Linked DNA regions of Daphnia pulex. The protein of the gene in region 2 purifies or fractionates together with the protein of the main gene of each other region. This does not show direct contact. Links are inferred from orthologs where the notes say so. Each region holds a gene or a part of one and is shown on either strand. Other genes may lie near its edges.

The links.
Region 1: the proteins of histone deacetylase 1-like (region 2) and chromobox protein homolog 8-like purify together in Drosophila melanogaster (affinity purification with western blotting; 3 studies listed by BioGRID, with this or other methods). This does not show direct contact. The link is inferred for Daphnia pulex from reciprocal best matches to the Drosophila melanogaster genes HDAC1 and Pc.

The regions. Positions count from the first base shown.
Region 1 is NC_060023.1:9,223,825-9,231,983, forward strand, and holds chromobox protein homolog 8-like, read right to left. Parts: upstream 5,038-8,159; 5' UTR 4,695-5,037; coding exon 4,626-4,694; intron 4,499-4,625; coding exon 4,455-4,498; intron 4,389-4,454; coding exon 4,326-4,388; intron 4,078-4,325; coding exon 2,655-4,077; 3' UTR 1,895-2,654; downstream 1-1,894.
Region 2 is NC_060024.1:1,147,466-1,155,406, forward strand, and holds histone deacetylase 1-like, read left to right. Parts: upstream 1-3,542; 5' UTR 3,543-3,682; coding exon 3,683-3,734; intron 3,735-4,227; coding exon 4,228-4,256; intron 4,257-4,321; coding exon 4,322-4,405; intron 4,406-4,466; coding exon 4,467-4,584; intron 4,585-4,648; coding exon 4,649-4,824; intron 4,825-4,896; coding exon 4,897-5,076; intron 5,077-5,134; coding exon 5,135-5,336; intron 5,337-5,392; coding exon 5,393-5,642; intron 5,643-5,699; coding exon 5,700-5,758; intron 5,759-5,840; coding exon 5,841-5,994; intron 5,995-6,058; coding exon 6,059-6,285; intron 6,286-6,344; coding exon 6,345-6,430; 3' UTR 6,431-6,612; downstream 6,613-7,941. UniProt on the Drosophila melanogaster protein: Catalyzes the deacetylation of lysine residues on the N-terminal part of the core histones (H2A, H2B, H3 and H4).

The sequences.
Region 1 (8,159 bases), on a different chromosome or scaffold from region 2:
CCTCTTTGCTTTATAGTTTCTTTGTCCACCATTTTATTTTTTTGCCAGCATAGAAAGAAAAAGAAAAGAGACAGACAGACAGAAAAAAAAAATAATACTGTTGGGAGACTTTTCCTTGGGCTCTTTTCTGCAACGCTCTCCACTCTCTTATGTCTTTAATGCTAATTGTAGGTATATAACGTTGAGAGCCAGCCAGCCAGCGCTTTCTATTTTCGCCTTATTGTTGCTGTGTGTGTGTTTATATATATTGTTTAGTTCGATTTCTGTTTTTCAGGGTTTATGTGTGTACGTTCTAATCTTGTCGACGACGACGAGACACCGCCTTCCCTTTTTTTTTTATTCTTCTATTATTTAAGGGGATGTGACGTCAGAGCCTAGGCGAGCACACACACAAAAACTGCTTTTCGCTTAAATTATTTCAATCTTGCAAGATCAATGAAACGGAGGGAGCAGATGGCTGGCTGTAACAACGCTTTGAAAGGAGGGGAATGACACACACGGCGAGAAAACAAACGTGAAACAGCCATCTGGTTTTTTGGTTAGATAGATCAGCTATAATTCGGGCAGGGCTAAAATGGCGACACGGTGCCAATATAACAATCAAGAAGAAAACGGTGAAGGGGAAATTTATGTTATATATATATCTGGGAGATGTAGAAGAAGAAGAAAAAAGGGTCGTTCTCTTTGTGTCACTTTTGTGACCCCCATCTTGTGTGTACATGATTATACAGACGAGGAAGAAGAAGGTTACTATAAGAAAAGGATGGTAGCACCCCAGCAGGAACCCCCTCTCTCTCACTGGAAGCTTTTTCTCCCTATTATGCCAACTGCACAGGGGATCTTTGTGTGTTGACTGTGTCTACACACACACACACAAGTCCTACCAATATTCACAGCTGCTGCCGCAAAACATTTTTTTTTTCTTTCTTCCATCTCGGATTTCTGAACTGGGCGCGTGCCCCCGATTCAGCACCTCCCAGATCTTTTCTAAAGACACGAGAAACGGATGTCTGATGGAAAATTCAAATGAGAACAAGATCTCGCCGGAAGTTTTGGGTGTGTGTACTTGTTTGTTAATAATCAAGTAGAAGAATCTAAATTTTTTTTCCTTCTTATTTTATAACTGTAGAGACGCATAAAGATGTGTCCTAGGAATAGGCAAACAAAAGAAGAAGACAGATGGTAAGCTAGGGCTCCTCTTCCCCCCTGGAAAAGAAACTCACCTACATTTTAAACGGCCCTTTTCGAGCCCCCCATCTGACCCCCTCCCTTTCTGGGGCTTCTTATCCATCTCCATTTCCCTGGAAACAAAGGTGGTCGGAATTGACTGGAACATATCTAATAATTAGATCGCCTGACTCTCCGTTTTAATAGGCGTGTTGAAACTGTAACAAGGAAAGAAACAGAAAAAAATTGTAGACTAAAAAAATACAAAATTTATAGAAATATTTGGGTTTTATTAGGGGGTAAAGTTGATTCGATCCGGGTGTAGTTGATTTACGGTCCAATGCGTTTGTCAATCAAATAAAAGTGACAAACCCCGGAGCTGCATCCTAACCTTTCATACCTGCTGCTGTACACGTTTTTCTTTCGATGCTGGAACAAAATATTTTTTGGGGAAAACAAAAATTAAAATGGGGGGTGCTCTTTGACGTTTACAAGTTGATCAAAAAATGTTGTTCCCCCTTATCATATAAACGTAATCATGAGAACATAAAAATAATAAAAAATGCTTCCTTATTTTGTAATAATATTCCTGCCCTTTTTTTATTATTCTTCCAGTGTTTCTTTGCAGACCCAATCACAAGGAATCGTGGTTATTTCACAATAGCCAAGAGATAGACACATACGTAAGAAAATGCTTAAGAGAGCGAAAAAAGACACATTTTGTTTCTGCCTTTGTACAAATTTGACTTTATTCACCCTCCTCGAGAAGAAGAAAAAATATTTCATTGTGAGAAATTTATATAGCTGGGTAAGAGGAGGAAAAAACTAAACATAAGATCCAATTTTTGGTGGAGGGAAAAAGGACAAAAAGTGAGAAAAAAAAATTAATTTAAAATGTAACACAGCCTTCAAACACAAGACACAAAAACGGAGGTGGGAAAGAAAAAACAGCGGGATATTTTAAGGTCAAGCGCACAGGAAAGAAGAACAAAAATCCTCCAGTTGGGATCAATTTCATGAGAGGTTGATACAAAAAGAAAAATATAGACTATATGTATATAAATGTACACATACAAATTTACGCGCTCATATCCAAATCAATGCCCCGATTTTGGCAATTTGTTCGAAAAAAAAAAATTAATTAAAATTTCCTTTTTGTTTGCCTTGTTGTTGGTCAATGCAATTTTACAAAATTAATTTATAAAAAAAATATGGAAAAAATCTACAAGTATACCGGAACAACACGGTTTGCAAAAGAAAATTTGGGTGGGGGGATTCATGATTCAACAGTCATTGTTTGCTTCCTTCATTTTCTTTAGTAACTCAACGGATATTTTCAATAACCATAATTAGGAGAAAAACATACTAAATCGCAAAAGAAAAAAAATTAATTTGTAAATCAATATTGGAATCTCACAATTTTCTTTTCAGTTACGTCGTAACACACAACTCGCGATTCAAAATAAGGAGAGATTGTAAATTTCTTTTTATTTACCGTCAGCCTCTGCAGAGTCGGTGGTGTTGCCATTTTCTGCACTGCTACTGGCAGCGCCGTTTGGCCGATGACGGAAAAACCCCGACACTGTTTTGCATTCACGAATGGTGACGGTCATCATGTTGACCGTGACGTCCGTGATGAAGATCTGGTCGACCAAAGGATTCTTGCGATGCCAATAGTCCAAACTGGGTGTCAGGAGGTGATCGGTCGAAGAAGGAGCTGAAGTCAATTTGCGACCGTTTGGTCCGTGTCCGTTCAGATTGACATTCTCCTGATCCGATAAACTTCCACCCGTGTTGTTCTGTTCAGACCGTTTGGAGGAATTGAGACTTCCACTGCTACTGGGCGGATGTGCAGATTCGCCCGGCAGAGCAGGTGAAAGAACCGGTGCCGGTCTGGTAGGAGAACTGGATCTACTGGCTGGCGAACTGGGCGAATATTTATTAGCGCCACGTTGCAATGACAAGAGAGCTATTTTAGCCGATTGTTCATCTTGCGACAGTGACCGCTGTGGCGTGGGTTGTTGTGGAGATGAGTTGTTGTGTTGTTGTTGATTCGATCTCTCCCGCCAGTCTAATCCTGGGCGAGCCACTGCTTCTCCATTGGGTGACAACGAAATGGACAGTGTGACGTGAGGCTCTTTGGTAATTGCAGTGGGGTTTCCTACGACGGCAGTCAGCGTGGTGGTGGTTGTTGCTGCTGCTGCTGGATCTGTAGGCGGAGATGGACGTGTAGGTGTAGTGGGTGCCAATCGAGGAACTTTGGCTGTAGGAGACAGCGGACTGCTGCCGTTGTGTCCACTGGGGCTTCGCGGACTTCTCGACCGGTCCAGTGACGTGGTGGAGATGGTGACACCGACTCGGCCGTTGTCACTAAGGACCTCAGCTTTTCGCTTAGTGCCAGCAGAGTCCTTCTCTTTATCCTTATCCTTTTCTTTCTCTTTTTCCTTCTCCTTGTCCTTCTTCTTCTCTTTGGCCAAATCAGATTTGTTGTTTTTCGAGTCGTTCGACGAGGTTTGCGACGCACTGATGGACCGGTCAGCTCTGAATGCCGAAGCGATTTTAGGACCAGCAGCTGTGGCTGCCGCTCGACAACTCGGAGGAGATGACAACGGTTTTTCTATCACTTTTTTCTCAGGTTCTTTAGCTGTGATAGGTGGTGGTGGTGGTGGAGCTGCAGCAGGAGGAGCAGTAGTAGTAACGGGTTCCTTTTCAGTTTCTTCGTCGCTACTACTGCTGCTGCTAGAACTGCTGCTCGAGCCGGATTCACCGTCGTCTGAATCGCCTTCTGATGACGACGATGTACTCAGCCTCCTATCACGTGTCGACCTCCCACCACTGCTCGATTGCTGCTGTAGTTGATCAGTCTTTTTCTTTGGCCCTCTTTTGAAGGTGGCAGCTTCTCTTTCCCGTCTTGAAAGATAAAAAAGAAACAAAAAAGTTGAAATGATTGGATTGCTGTTAATGATACATTCACTTTGGGAACCTGTCACTTGCACTTCCTGCTCTCACATGTGACATTTGACAAGGACACAATGCCATTTATGTCAACTCTCTGATGTTGTCGAGCATTTTGAAAACTGGTATGCGCCACAAAGTTGCATAACCAGAGTGACATCACCCAAAATCACATGCAGATACGTTGGAGAATCAAAACATACCTCTCAAAGGCTTCCAGTAGACGCCCATCAAGTATGTTTTCTTCAGGTTCCCATGTGTTGTGTCTGCAAACAATCGTGTGATTAGTATAATGTCAGATTAATCAATCATGTCAAAACTGTAAGACTCACTTATTACTCCAGCCTTTCCACTTTACCAGGTACTCGGGGTGTCCCTATAATCGAAATGAAAGCAAAATAAACAAGCCTGCACACAACTGTGACAGCCATGCCAGAGTGAACCAGCATCGCTGACAGTCTCAACATTTGAAAGGAAAATTATGAGCCAAAAACTAGACTTGCCCTTCGACTTCTTTTTTTAAGAATGCGTTCGGCGGCGAACACCCTGTCTCCAACATTCGACAGCTCCATTTTGGAATCCAGTTTTGAGAAATGTTGTGAGGCGAATGATTGTTACAATAAAATCCGACCACGAATATGACGTCGAAGAAGAGGCGAGGCGAGCAAAATTCCTTATTAACACAAACAGGGGAGGGGTAATGACAGTTGTGTCTTTTTTGTCTCTCTGTCTCTTATCCACGGGTACGTTTTGTCTCTTTTTTTATTTCTTTTTACTTTTTTTTTTCCCGAGACACAGAAAACACTAACGCACAACAAACACACAACAACAGATGCGCGACTTGCGTTACACTCAACTAGCCGGAGAGGGCGCTTGCGTTGGGCTTTTCCCCACCTCCCAACTGAACCCGGAGGCGTACTATCAAAAACTACAACCGAGTCTTCCTAATTTCGTCCTACGTACCAATCGATGCACAACCGACTGGAAAAAATGAAAGACATCAACTTTAATTGATTAATGATTATGTATTTCAATTGGGTTTACATTGGAAATAATTTAACTGTCGATTGTTTATGAAAAGAATGATAATCCTGTAATGATGTCGCGGAAAAGTAGTCTGTTGGTAAAATATCGTCGACGTGAGTGTACTCAACGGGAAACTTCTAGTTGCTTTTAAAGTTGCTTACGTCAAGGACCTTTCGCCCCCTCCTCTCTCTTCTTATAACATCAAACAATTAATTTCGATTGAATGTGGGGTAATTAAGCGACGGATTAAAACTTCAGCCAGCCAGGGTCTTCTGAAATTCGAACGATTTAGAAACTGTCACACACATGATTTTAACAAATGACGATGATAATAATTTCGAAACGATAGTTGGCTAGAATAGTACAAGTTGCCAAGGTTATATTGTTATTTACATCAAATGTCACCGCGTTGTCTAGCTTGAAATCCTCTTTTGATTTTCAAAATGGGATTCTCTCGTCTGGAAACGAAATAAAAATGTTGGAGGTCGCTTCTTCTTCTTCTTCACGACTGAAACGTTTTTAATCTAATAAACAACAAGTCGGACTTTCAAAAAACATAAAAAGAAACATGTGGCAAGTTTGAAAAAAAAATAAAATCTTGTTTCTTTCTCTCTCTCTTCTTGTTACGAGGGCGGGTGCACGTGTCACGACGTGTTTCTCCGCTGTAGGTCAACGGTCTCCGGGACACAGGATATTATTTCCACATACACACAAGAGAACAACTCGAAAACCCTCAAAGCTGATAGTAGTTGATACACACAATACCGCGCCCAGAAAATTCATTGGTACATATAACAGCAGCAGCAAAAGTTCAGTAGACAATCAAGACTATGTTGTTTGATTATCAACACGTTTATACATTTTATTTCTTTCTTTTCTTGTCCAGGTTTTATCAGATAAAAGAAAAACTTGCTGCTCCGGGACTGGTCTCTGAAGGTGTACATACAATTGGCAATCCATCGACCAAAAGGTTTTTTTCTATTGAATTTCGTTTGTTCCAATCTGTCAAAGACGCGTGCAATTTCAATAGAGGTGAAAGGCGACCTCGTTTTATCTGTTCTTTTTTTTTACGATTCACGTAATTGCGTCATAGGTAAAAAAGAACAGCAAGTACCACCTAAGCCTTTGTGTCGACCGAGCCCCGTTGAAAAAATAAAAAACTGTGCTGAATGCCAAATGCTGCTATCCAATATGGCCCACCTTTCTCTCTGTCGGCGCTCACCTGGATTATTCTCTACTTTCCATATATTCAATATAATAAGAACACATGCACGAACCACTCCGCCCGTCCCGTCCCGACTTGATCGATATCAGAAATGTTCCTGCAACAACAAGAGAGAAAACAATTCATATTTTTGTTCGATTTTTGTTTTATTCGTTGGAGGGGGGAAGAAGAAGATCGATAAGATCGTCACGCCGGCTTTCACCTGCGAGACTTTTTTTTAGACAGGTAAATATAATACTGTGGAAGATGAAAAATAACGAGTCATAAGCGGCTTCCCTAAAGGCCGTCTGAGAAGAAAAAGATGAAGGGACTAAAAACGACCAAGAAATCCGTAGATGACGTCAGAGTAACAATGGGACCCAATCACGGGCTCAATTCATCATAAAAAAAAAACATCTCTTATAACAAACCAAAGCGGTCCCGTTCTTTTTCCTTAAATAACCTTTTCCTTGAAAATCTTGTATGTTACAAGCTCTCACGGAAAATAAAAACCTTTCCTGGATATTTTTTTTTCCGAATTCTCCTGGAATTTCTCGCGCCACAAAAAGAGGAGCAGATGATTTCACAAATTTTTTAGTTCCCCCCCTCTTTTACAAAAGATGGTTTGAACAAACGAGTGTGTGGCACGTATATTCTGCTGGCCCTCCATGTCCACACACACAACAGACATTGGGGTGCTGATGATCTGATGATGGGCCGGTGGTTGTCGTCCCTTTACGTCTCTATATATCATCGGAAAACCAGATGGACTCTTGTATGTACACACGGTAGGCCTATGAAGAAAAGGGCAGGTGTGCCAATATCGTAGGGCTGCTGCTGCTGTGTCGATTGTCCTCGGCCAGGGGGATGAAAAAAAGGGAACCGTTGATGTACATATACCCTGGGCCCTTGGTGATATGGTTATAACGGTCGCACGAGCCCCAGTCAACAGCAATCCTCCCCTTACTATACATATTCTATCGCTCCGTTATTATGATTATGATGGGCTAAAGCTCTTTTTTTTCTCCTAGATAATGCTGCGGGCCTTTTAAATGGTGAGCGGCGATTGATACACAGCAGCAGCAGGAAGAGATTTTCGATCTGTTATAAAACACCTCAAGGCTCCAGCCAGCTTCAATTACATTGTAGGTCGAGCAGTTCTACGAATTTAGATATTACCAAGGAAAAATTCGATTTGGTTGAGAATAAAGACAATAGAAGCGGACTGCAACAGAGTACTGCGAGCAATCTACTTTTTTTTTTTTACTATACACGCTGAGTCGACCACCTGGACATGTGGCGGCAGATCAATCAGCAGGTGTTACAACCCTCGTAAATCTATTTCTTTTTTTTTTGGGTTGTTTGTAACCTCGAGCCTAAACAGCCGAGAAAACAAAATGGCTTCAATGTCTAAATACAATAAAAAGGGAAGCTTTAAAAAAGAAAAAAAAAAAGCATTTCCATTTTTGAATTCAATAGATTTAAAGTGCCCGCTCGCGCGTCAAGAGTCAAAACGACTGCTCTCTTTATGGACTAAGACTCTCTCTCTCTCTCTCAGTGTTCTCGACCGGCCATTCAACTAGCCTCAATAGGGCCATACCATCTGCCCTGTTTGACGTCGATCCCGAGTATAGCCCAGTCTATACCTGACTGTGAATAATATAATATAACCCGCGCGCCGCCAGGTAGTGGTAGCATCAAATGTGTATATAACACAGTCGAGGAACATCAAACATCCTAAAAAGAAGAATATGGGAGCACTACTATAAAGCAACCTCAAACAAAAATGGTTCGCTATCATCACGCT
Region 2 (7,941 bases):
TGATGTCGGACATTTCGGCACTTTTTTCGGCACTTTTATTTTGCCCGTTTCGGCCCCTGTTAACTCCAATAGTATCCGTTTCGGATCTAAATCTTCCCGTTTCGGCACCGTTTTCTTGGATCCTTCAAACCAATCAGATTTGAACCGTATTCTGTAATGATTTTACTCAATTAGCTACAATTTGATTGATTTGATTTTCCTACAATTAGTGAAACTTGAATAGAATTGTGAGTAAGGAGAAGAAGCTTTTTTAAATCTCTAGTTGCTGATTTGACTAGAAGTGATAAAATGTATTAGCATTTATGCTACTGCTACTACAGCAGTTCTATATTCTGTGCGGCACTGCAGGTTGAAAAAAAATGAAATAAAGCTGATGCATAATGTAAGAAAGGAATAAGGAGAGAAAGAAAAACATACAAAATACTGAAACGTAAGCTTCAAATACTATGGCACGCACATGACAATTCTGAGATTTATACGGCCAAGCTCTTAACTGAATGCGCTTATATGTATACAAAAATGAACACAACTAGGTATACAAAAAATATAGGTGATGATAGAGAGTGTGAACTGGAGGCTGAATAGATTTGTACAACAATACATTGATTTATTGAGACTCGAGGCTGTATTTTAATTGTGAGAATCTCATTTTTTCTTTAGGCGTATTGTTTATAATACCCAATGCTACACGATGGAATGCATGGTATGATGCTGTTCGCCACGTAAATAAGATTGCCAAAAAATGGAAAAAAAAAGACTTGAAAGTTGTGACTACTTGAAAGTTCCCTGCCTGACAGCTACAGATTACTTTATTCATTAATGATTATGTTACTGTGATGCAGCCCATTGCATTTGGATTGGACATTCTACAGGGAGAGAAGGATGTTACTTCCGGAAACCTACTACCTTCCATAGTAGATATTGGGAATAGTTTGAATAATCTCAAGAATCGAGATGAAAACTCTAGCCATCCCCCTATTAGTATTTCACTCCCATTAGTTGATGCCTTGTTAGAAAGATTGAAAAAAAGATTTGACATCTTTCTTAGGCAAGAGAATTTTCAGTTGTCGGCTCACTACACCCAAAATTTAAATTGATTTGGTTAGGGACAAGCGAAAAAGATACCAAACTGAAGAAACAAATCATCAGCAAGATTGAAATCCATCTAACATATTTAGACGTCTCTGATTCTACTAAGGCAACAACCCCTGATGACCCTACTGATATTTATTCTGGGTTAATGTAAAATAGCAAGGGGAATTCTATTTTCCAACAAAAAGAAGGTTGAGCTCACTCGGTTTCTTGAAGCTAAGCCAATATACAATCTTTTCTTGATTACTTCCAAAATATAAAAAACTTGTTTTGGAAATTTAATGATAGCATTGCATCTTACGCTGTAACGGAAAGATTTTTTTCTTTGTTTGGGCGTGTGTTAACTTCTACTAGAACACTTCTTAGTGATACGATTTTAATTTTCTTGTTTTTCTTAAGTCAAATATCTGTCCTTTTTCTACAATAACTTAAATTAAATAAGTCATAATAATTGGGCATCATCTGGCAAACCGACCCCTTCAAAATCCGTTTCCCCTTGTCGAGAAAAACCACCGCAAGGGGATTTCGAACAAAGACTAGAGGGGAACCCTCCCCTTGGATCGGTTTTGGATTCGAAGGGGTGGGGAAACGACTTGAAATGACCGCTGAAATGTAGGAATTGATTCAAAAGCGGATTGACTTTGAATCAATACAAATGTCTTTCATGCAACAATAAAATAAAGAAACGCGTAGTCCCATGAGGCCCGTATGATGCTGGGGCGACGGGTTTTTTGGGGGAGCAGAAGCATGACAGAAGTAGGTGCGTGGTTGGTCTCAGCAGGCCCGTGGTTAGGGTATAGGGGGACAACACTTACCAGGACGCAGCCAAACAGACGAATTTCCCGTAGGGATTCTGTAGGGGAGACCGGACCCATGTTGGACACTGTTCCAAGTTGGACAGTGTCTTAAAATATAGTAAAAATTGCTTTAAAATTCTAGATTTCACATTGTTCTAGATGTGATGATGCTAGATCCTGTGTAGTTTAATTAATTTCCCGAGAGTAGAACGGGAGTTATAGGAGGAAGAAAAAACACGATAAATTATTGCAAAATTTTTCGCCCGAATTATTGATCTTGCTCCAAGTTTGTTTGAGTAAAAAAATTTTTAAACAAATGTTTTTAAATTATTTATTATTGGAAGAACTATCATACAAGGTTTTTAAAATAATTTAAAGACATTAATTTCCACCTTTTCGAACCCCGTCTAACTTGGTACAGGCCCCTGTCTAATTTCACCCCGGCTCGGTAAAAAACACCGAAAAATGGAAATCAATGTAAATTCTTAAATTTTAAAGTTACACATTTTAAAAAAATCAAGGGGGTGGAGGCAAGGCTAAAAAATGACCTTAGCCAAAAAAAAATTCTTTTGCCTAAGGGGATCGGGAGATATGCGGGAAAAACCGCGACTGTCCAAGAGGGGTCCGGTCTCCCCTACAGGTTTTTTGGCATACGGGAGGATTAGTTCCAATTTCGCCAATAGATGGCTTCGATTACTTTTTCGACAGTAGATGGTGGGTCGGTCGAATTTCACCAATTTTAACTGCGCGCGTTGAAACTGGCATCTAGGCTCTAGCGACTAAAAGTAAACTGTCATCTGCCTCTTTCTCTTCTTCTTCTAGATTTTTTTATATCTTCCCGTCCATCGATGACTGGAAAGAGATTCAGCTCTTTTCAGACCGACCAGGAAAGAATAACATCTGTAATAGCCTACATCAGCCAAAAATTTTTATTTTTATTTTTTGTCCGCTTGGCGCAACCTAAGACTGGTGGCTTTTTCAAATCTTATTTAGAAAAGAAACCAAAACGAAGATTTCGACATTTTTCCCCCTGCCCCTTCTCGGAAGACGAATTCGACTGCGCTGCTCCTTCCGGCGAGCCCATCTCCTTATCTCTGAAAACGTCTAACGGAGTTGATAGATCGTTAGATCTCCAGCTTAATGGCTCTGGTTTCTAGTTCCATACTCCTTAGTCCCTAACCTAATCCCTAATTTCTAAATTTATTATTTACTAGAATATGTTTATTTCAAATACCTTCGTATTTGGAAATTGATAATATAAGATTTAAAAAATATAACTGCGTAATTTTTTCATTTTGAAAATCACTTGTTTCGTGTGGGTTTTCCAAAAAAATCAAATTCCAATATATTTATTAAACATTATGTTTCCCAGAAGGGTTCCGACTTCTGAAAACTGATTATTACATATTCAATCCTATCAACAACATTCATGGAAAAATTGCTTCTTGCAATTAGTTTGACGTGATACTTTACCTTGACTCCTCCACCAGGGCAACAGATAATTATCCATTACTCTGCCTCCACTTATTATCATCATTTTTATAGTTTTGTAAGGACTCGACTCGAATCGAAGGAGATTCGAGATTTTTTGAGAGCTGGCAAATATGTTTCCTCAAATTCGCGTTTGAGGCTTTGGGCTATCGTAGTTAGTTTGTAGATTTGGCAACACTGTAAATGTAAGCATTCGCATTCGACGCAGCGAAAGCAATTGATGCTGGTGTCTTTTCTTTTCAGTGTAACTGTCGAAAAGTAAAAATAATTTTAATAAAGAATTGTGATTTTCAATTTCGAAAATGACTACTCAACCAAGTCACAGCAGAAAGCGAGTTTGCTACTATTATGACAGTAAGTTAGAAAAATAATTGTATCATGTATAATTAACGTTTCATGTCGCGTGTTTGACTGCCGGCGTCCTTTTTTAAATTAATTATTTCAGTGGTCATATTCTATTTATTTTATAAATTCCCAAAGATACTTGATTTTTGCTAAATTTATATACCTATCTATTGTGACATTTTGATGTACAAAATTTATGTGGAAGTAACAATATTTGGCAAGTGGGACGTCATTTATGCACAGTAGTATCACAAAGAATTATAGATGTTTGAAGACTGAAGAGCACATAGTATTAAAAAAGAAAGATATGTGGCTATATTATCATTTAAATTGGGTTTTATTTTTGAATTGCTTCAAAATTTTATTAAGATTTTCATGTCAAATTTGTCGATGAGGTTGTCGGGGGTATAATTGACGTCCTACTTGGTGGGTGGGTTGGCATTTTTATGGTGACTTTTCATTTTAACTCTTAAATTTGTAATTCCTTTTTTTATTAACCTAGGTGACATCGGGAATTTTTATTATGGACAGGTAATAATATTGAACACATTTATGTTAATGAAACTGTAATTAATAATAAATTTTTGAAATTGAAGGGACATCCCATGAAACCTCATCGCATACGCATGACCCACAACTTGCTCTTGAATTATGGGCTATACCGTAAAATGGAAATCTATGTAAAAATTCAAGAAGCTAGATGATAATTGCCACAGTTTAATTGAATTTATTTTTTGTTAGCGACCACACAAAGCCACAGCTGAAGAAATGACCAAGTTCCACAGTGATGATTACATTCGATTTCTTCGAAGCATCAGACCTGACAATATGACAGAATACAATAAACAGATGCAGAGATGTAAGATGTGTTTACAATTTGATCAATTTGAAATTGTGAATTAATTTATTTGTTTGTTTTTTAGTTAATGTGGGTGAAGACTGTCCTGTTTTTGATGGGCTCTACGAATTTTGTCAATTATCTGCTGGAGGTTCTGTAGCTGGAGCTGTGAAGCTCAACAAGCAAGCAACTGAGATAGCTGTGAACTGGGCTGGGGGATTACATCATGCCAAAAAGTCTGAGGCATCAGGATTCTGCTATGTAAATGAATAACTTAATAACAGTTTTTGGATATAACTTACTAACTAATGTTCATCTCTTTCCATATTTTAGGTAAATGACATAGTGTTGGCAATTTTAGAGCTTCTGAAATACCACCAACGTGTTTTGTATATTGACATTGATATTCATCATGGTGATGGAGTGGAAGAAGCCTTTTACACTACTGATCGTGTAATGACTGTTTCATTTCACAAATATGGAGAATATTTTCCTGGAACTGGAGATCTCAGAGTAAGAAGTTTTGAACTAAATTTTGAATAAGAAACTGTTATTTATCCTTTTGTTGTAGGACATTGGTGCAGGCAAAGGAAAATATTATGCCGTAAATTTCCCCCTGAGAGATGGAATAGATGATGAAAGCTATGAGCAAATCTTCGTACCTATCATGTCAAAAGTGATGGAAACTTATCAGCCGAGTGCAGTGGTTCTCCAATGCGGTGCCGATAGTTTGTCTGGTGATCGTTTGGGATGCTTTAATCTTACTTTGAAAGGTATGTGTTCGGAACTATTGTTTTTAGTATACATGTTATTATCAAGTTGTCTTTAGGTCACGCAAAATGTGTTGATTTTGTTAAGAAACATAATCTGCCTTTACTGCTGCTTGGAGGTGGTGGTTACACTATTCGAAATGTTGCCCGTTGTTGGACTTACGAGACCGCAGTGGCACTGGGAAATGACATTGCAAATGAACTCCCTTACAACGATTATTTTGAATATTTTGGTCCCGATTTTAAATTGCACATTAGTCCGTCTAACATGGCAAATCAAAATACTCCGGAATATTTAGATAAAATCAAGTAAGTTTTTAGTGTTTTATTCAAAGAATTATATGTTGAGTGACATGTTTTTCTTAGAACTCGTCTTTTCGAAAACCTCCGCATGTTACCTCATGCTCCTGGAGTCCAAATGCAAGGTACTTGCATTAAATTTAATTCTTCAATTGTATTTATTATTTCATTGCATTGCGTTTAACTGATCCAAAATTATTCTGACAGCAATTCCCGAGGATGCCATTAACGAAGATTCCGACGAAGAAGATAAATCTAATCCCGATGAACGTATATCTATACGAGCATCAGATAAAAGGATTGCACCAGACAATGAATACAGTGATTCCGAAGATGAAGGGGATTCCCGCCGAGATCAAAGGTCTGAATTCATTAATAAATCGTGCAATTTTTCATTTTTTCAATCATTATTCTCTACTATATAGATCATTTAAAGGAGCAAATCGCAAAAGACCAAGAACCGAAACAGCTGAGGGTGCTGCAGAGGTCAAAAAGGAAGAAAAGGAGGACAAAGAAGTGAATGGCGAGAATAAGGAAGGTACTTCAAAAGAGACTGTAAAGGATTCGGACAAGAAAAATGAGACAACACTGAAGTCTAGTGGTGAATCTTCTAGTGAAGGTAGTGCTTTGTCCATGGCGAATGAAATAAAAGGTTAGTGTTCACGTAATCGTGGTTATCTCAGATTTCTTACCAATTATATGTATTTTCAGAACCCGAAGAAGATAAATCTACATCGCATGAATTAAGCTCCCCTGTTCCGGTTTGCGCCGATAGCAGTAAAGGAGAAAAAGTTTGAAAATACCAATTAGGGTTTTATTTCATTTTCGCTAATTTTACACTGATGGTGATTCTTCGAGATTCATTCACATCCAATTTTCTACGTGTATCTTAATTAGAATGTAAACTCCGGCTCCTATCACCAACTGCATACCCTCAATCGGGTTCTCAGTCTTCAATACATTTTTACTAAGTTTTTCATTTTAGTTTGGTCTTTTTTCTACATCCTAAGATACGCACTTCACTTATGTTGAGTGCATACTTTAAAACTGGAATACTGATTCAACAACATGTAGCGTAACAGAAGCTTTAATAGGCAAGAAGCGTTTATTTTTAAGAATGATTTTGTAGGGAGAATCAGCGATCAGTAAGCCCAACCTAGTTGGTGGAACGTTGGAATACCGTAGGAAAAGTTTGAGGTTTTACTAGGATTAAGGTTGAAGTTAATAAATATTAAATACTTGAATTGGGATAGTGCATATTTTAATTTCAAAACTATGATAAATTTTACTATTCTGGTGTTAGGTTACATAGGTTAGATTACATATGTTAGGTTACAGTACTAGTCACTAGTATTGTTATCTAGTTATCTTATTTCTTAAATCATTATGTTTTTATAGGCCTCAATAATATAAAAAAATAATTCTAAAGGTTTCATCGATATGGATAACCGATAAGTTAAGGCAACTGGTGGTACCTCTAGTGCTTCGTTATTGTTTCAGTCACGGCTCCCAGTTATTAATTTGCAAATTATATTGTGATAATTTTTAAGTTCGTCGGTTTCGTAAAAAGTGGTTTTTAAAGTGGTGATTAAAAGTCCAACTGAACGGAAAGTAATGTATGTGAACGTGTTATATGAATTGCTTTCGTGTTTGTTGCGTTTAAACCGCGTGGTTTCCTGAGTTTTGATTTCCTCTTCTAGGTCAAGTTCGTTCATCCGATTTCTCCAGTACTTAATCCAATCTGGCATGAAGTCATTTTACAAAGATTCTTTCGATTGAGTACCTTGAGATCAATGTCTTTTCCAAAAAGATTTCCAATCAGCGGCATAAAGAGGGTTAGCCTCTGACCGTTGCTCCTTGAACTGCCGCACACAATCCAGCAGTCTCTCTTCCGGTAATTCCGGACACTATTTAGTTCGTAGCTGTGGTATAGGTTTCCAGCGCATCGAGCATCCCCAAGTGTTTTTGGATCTTCTCGGTGAAACGGGAGAAAGAAATCCGAAGTTGAATTTCAGATTTACTTCTGTTTTAGTTATATCAGAATATAATTTGGCATTTGTTCGGCAATTTTGCAATCGGCGAGTGCTGGTCTCAACGGAACTGCACTAAATAAGGCATTCCAATTTGTATCTGAACACGATGATTGGTAAAATAAACGGCAATACTTAACATGACAATCATTATTACCTTGAAGCGTATCTAAATCCTGATTTTCAGTTGGAATATTGTGAAACTCGTGGAATTCATGCAGCTGGATGTGTCTTACTCGTTCATTTCTTTTTTATTTCTTCCGTCACCCTTACTCCCT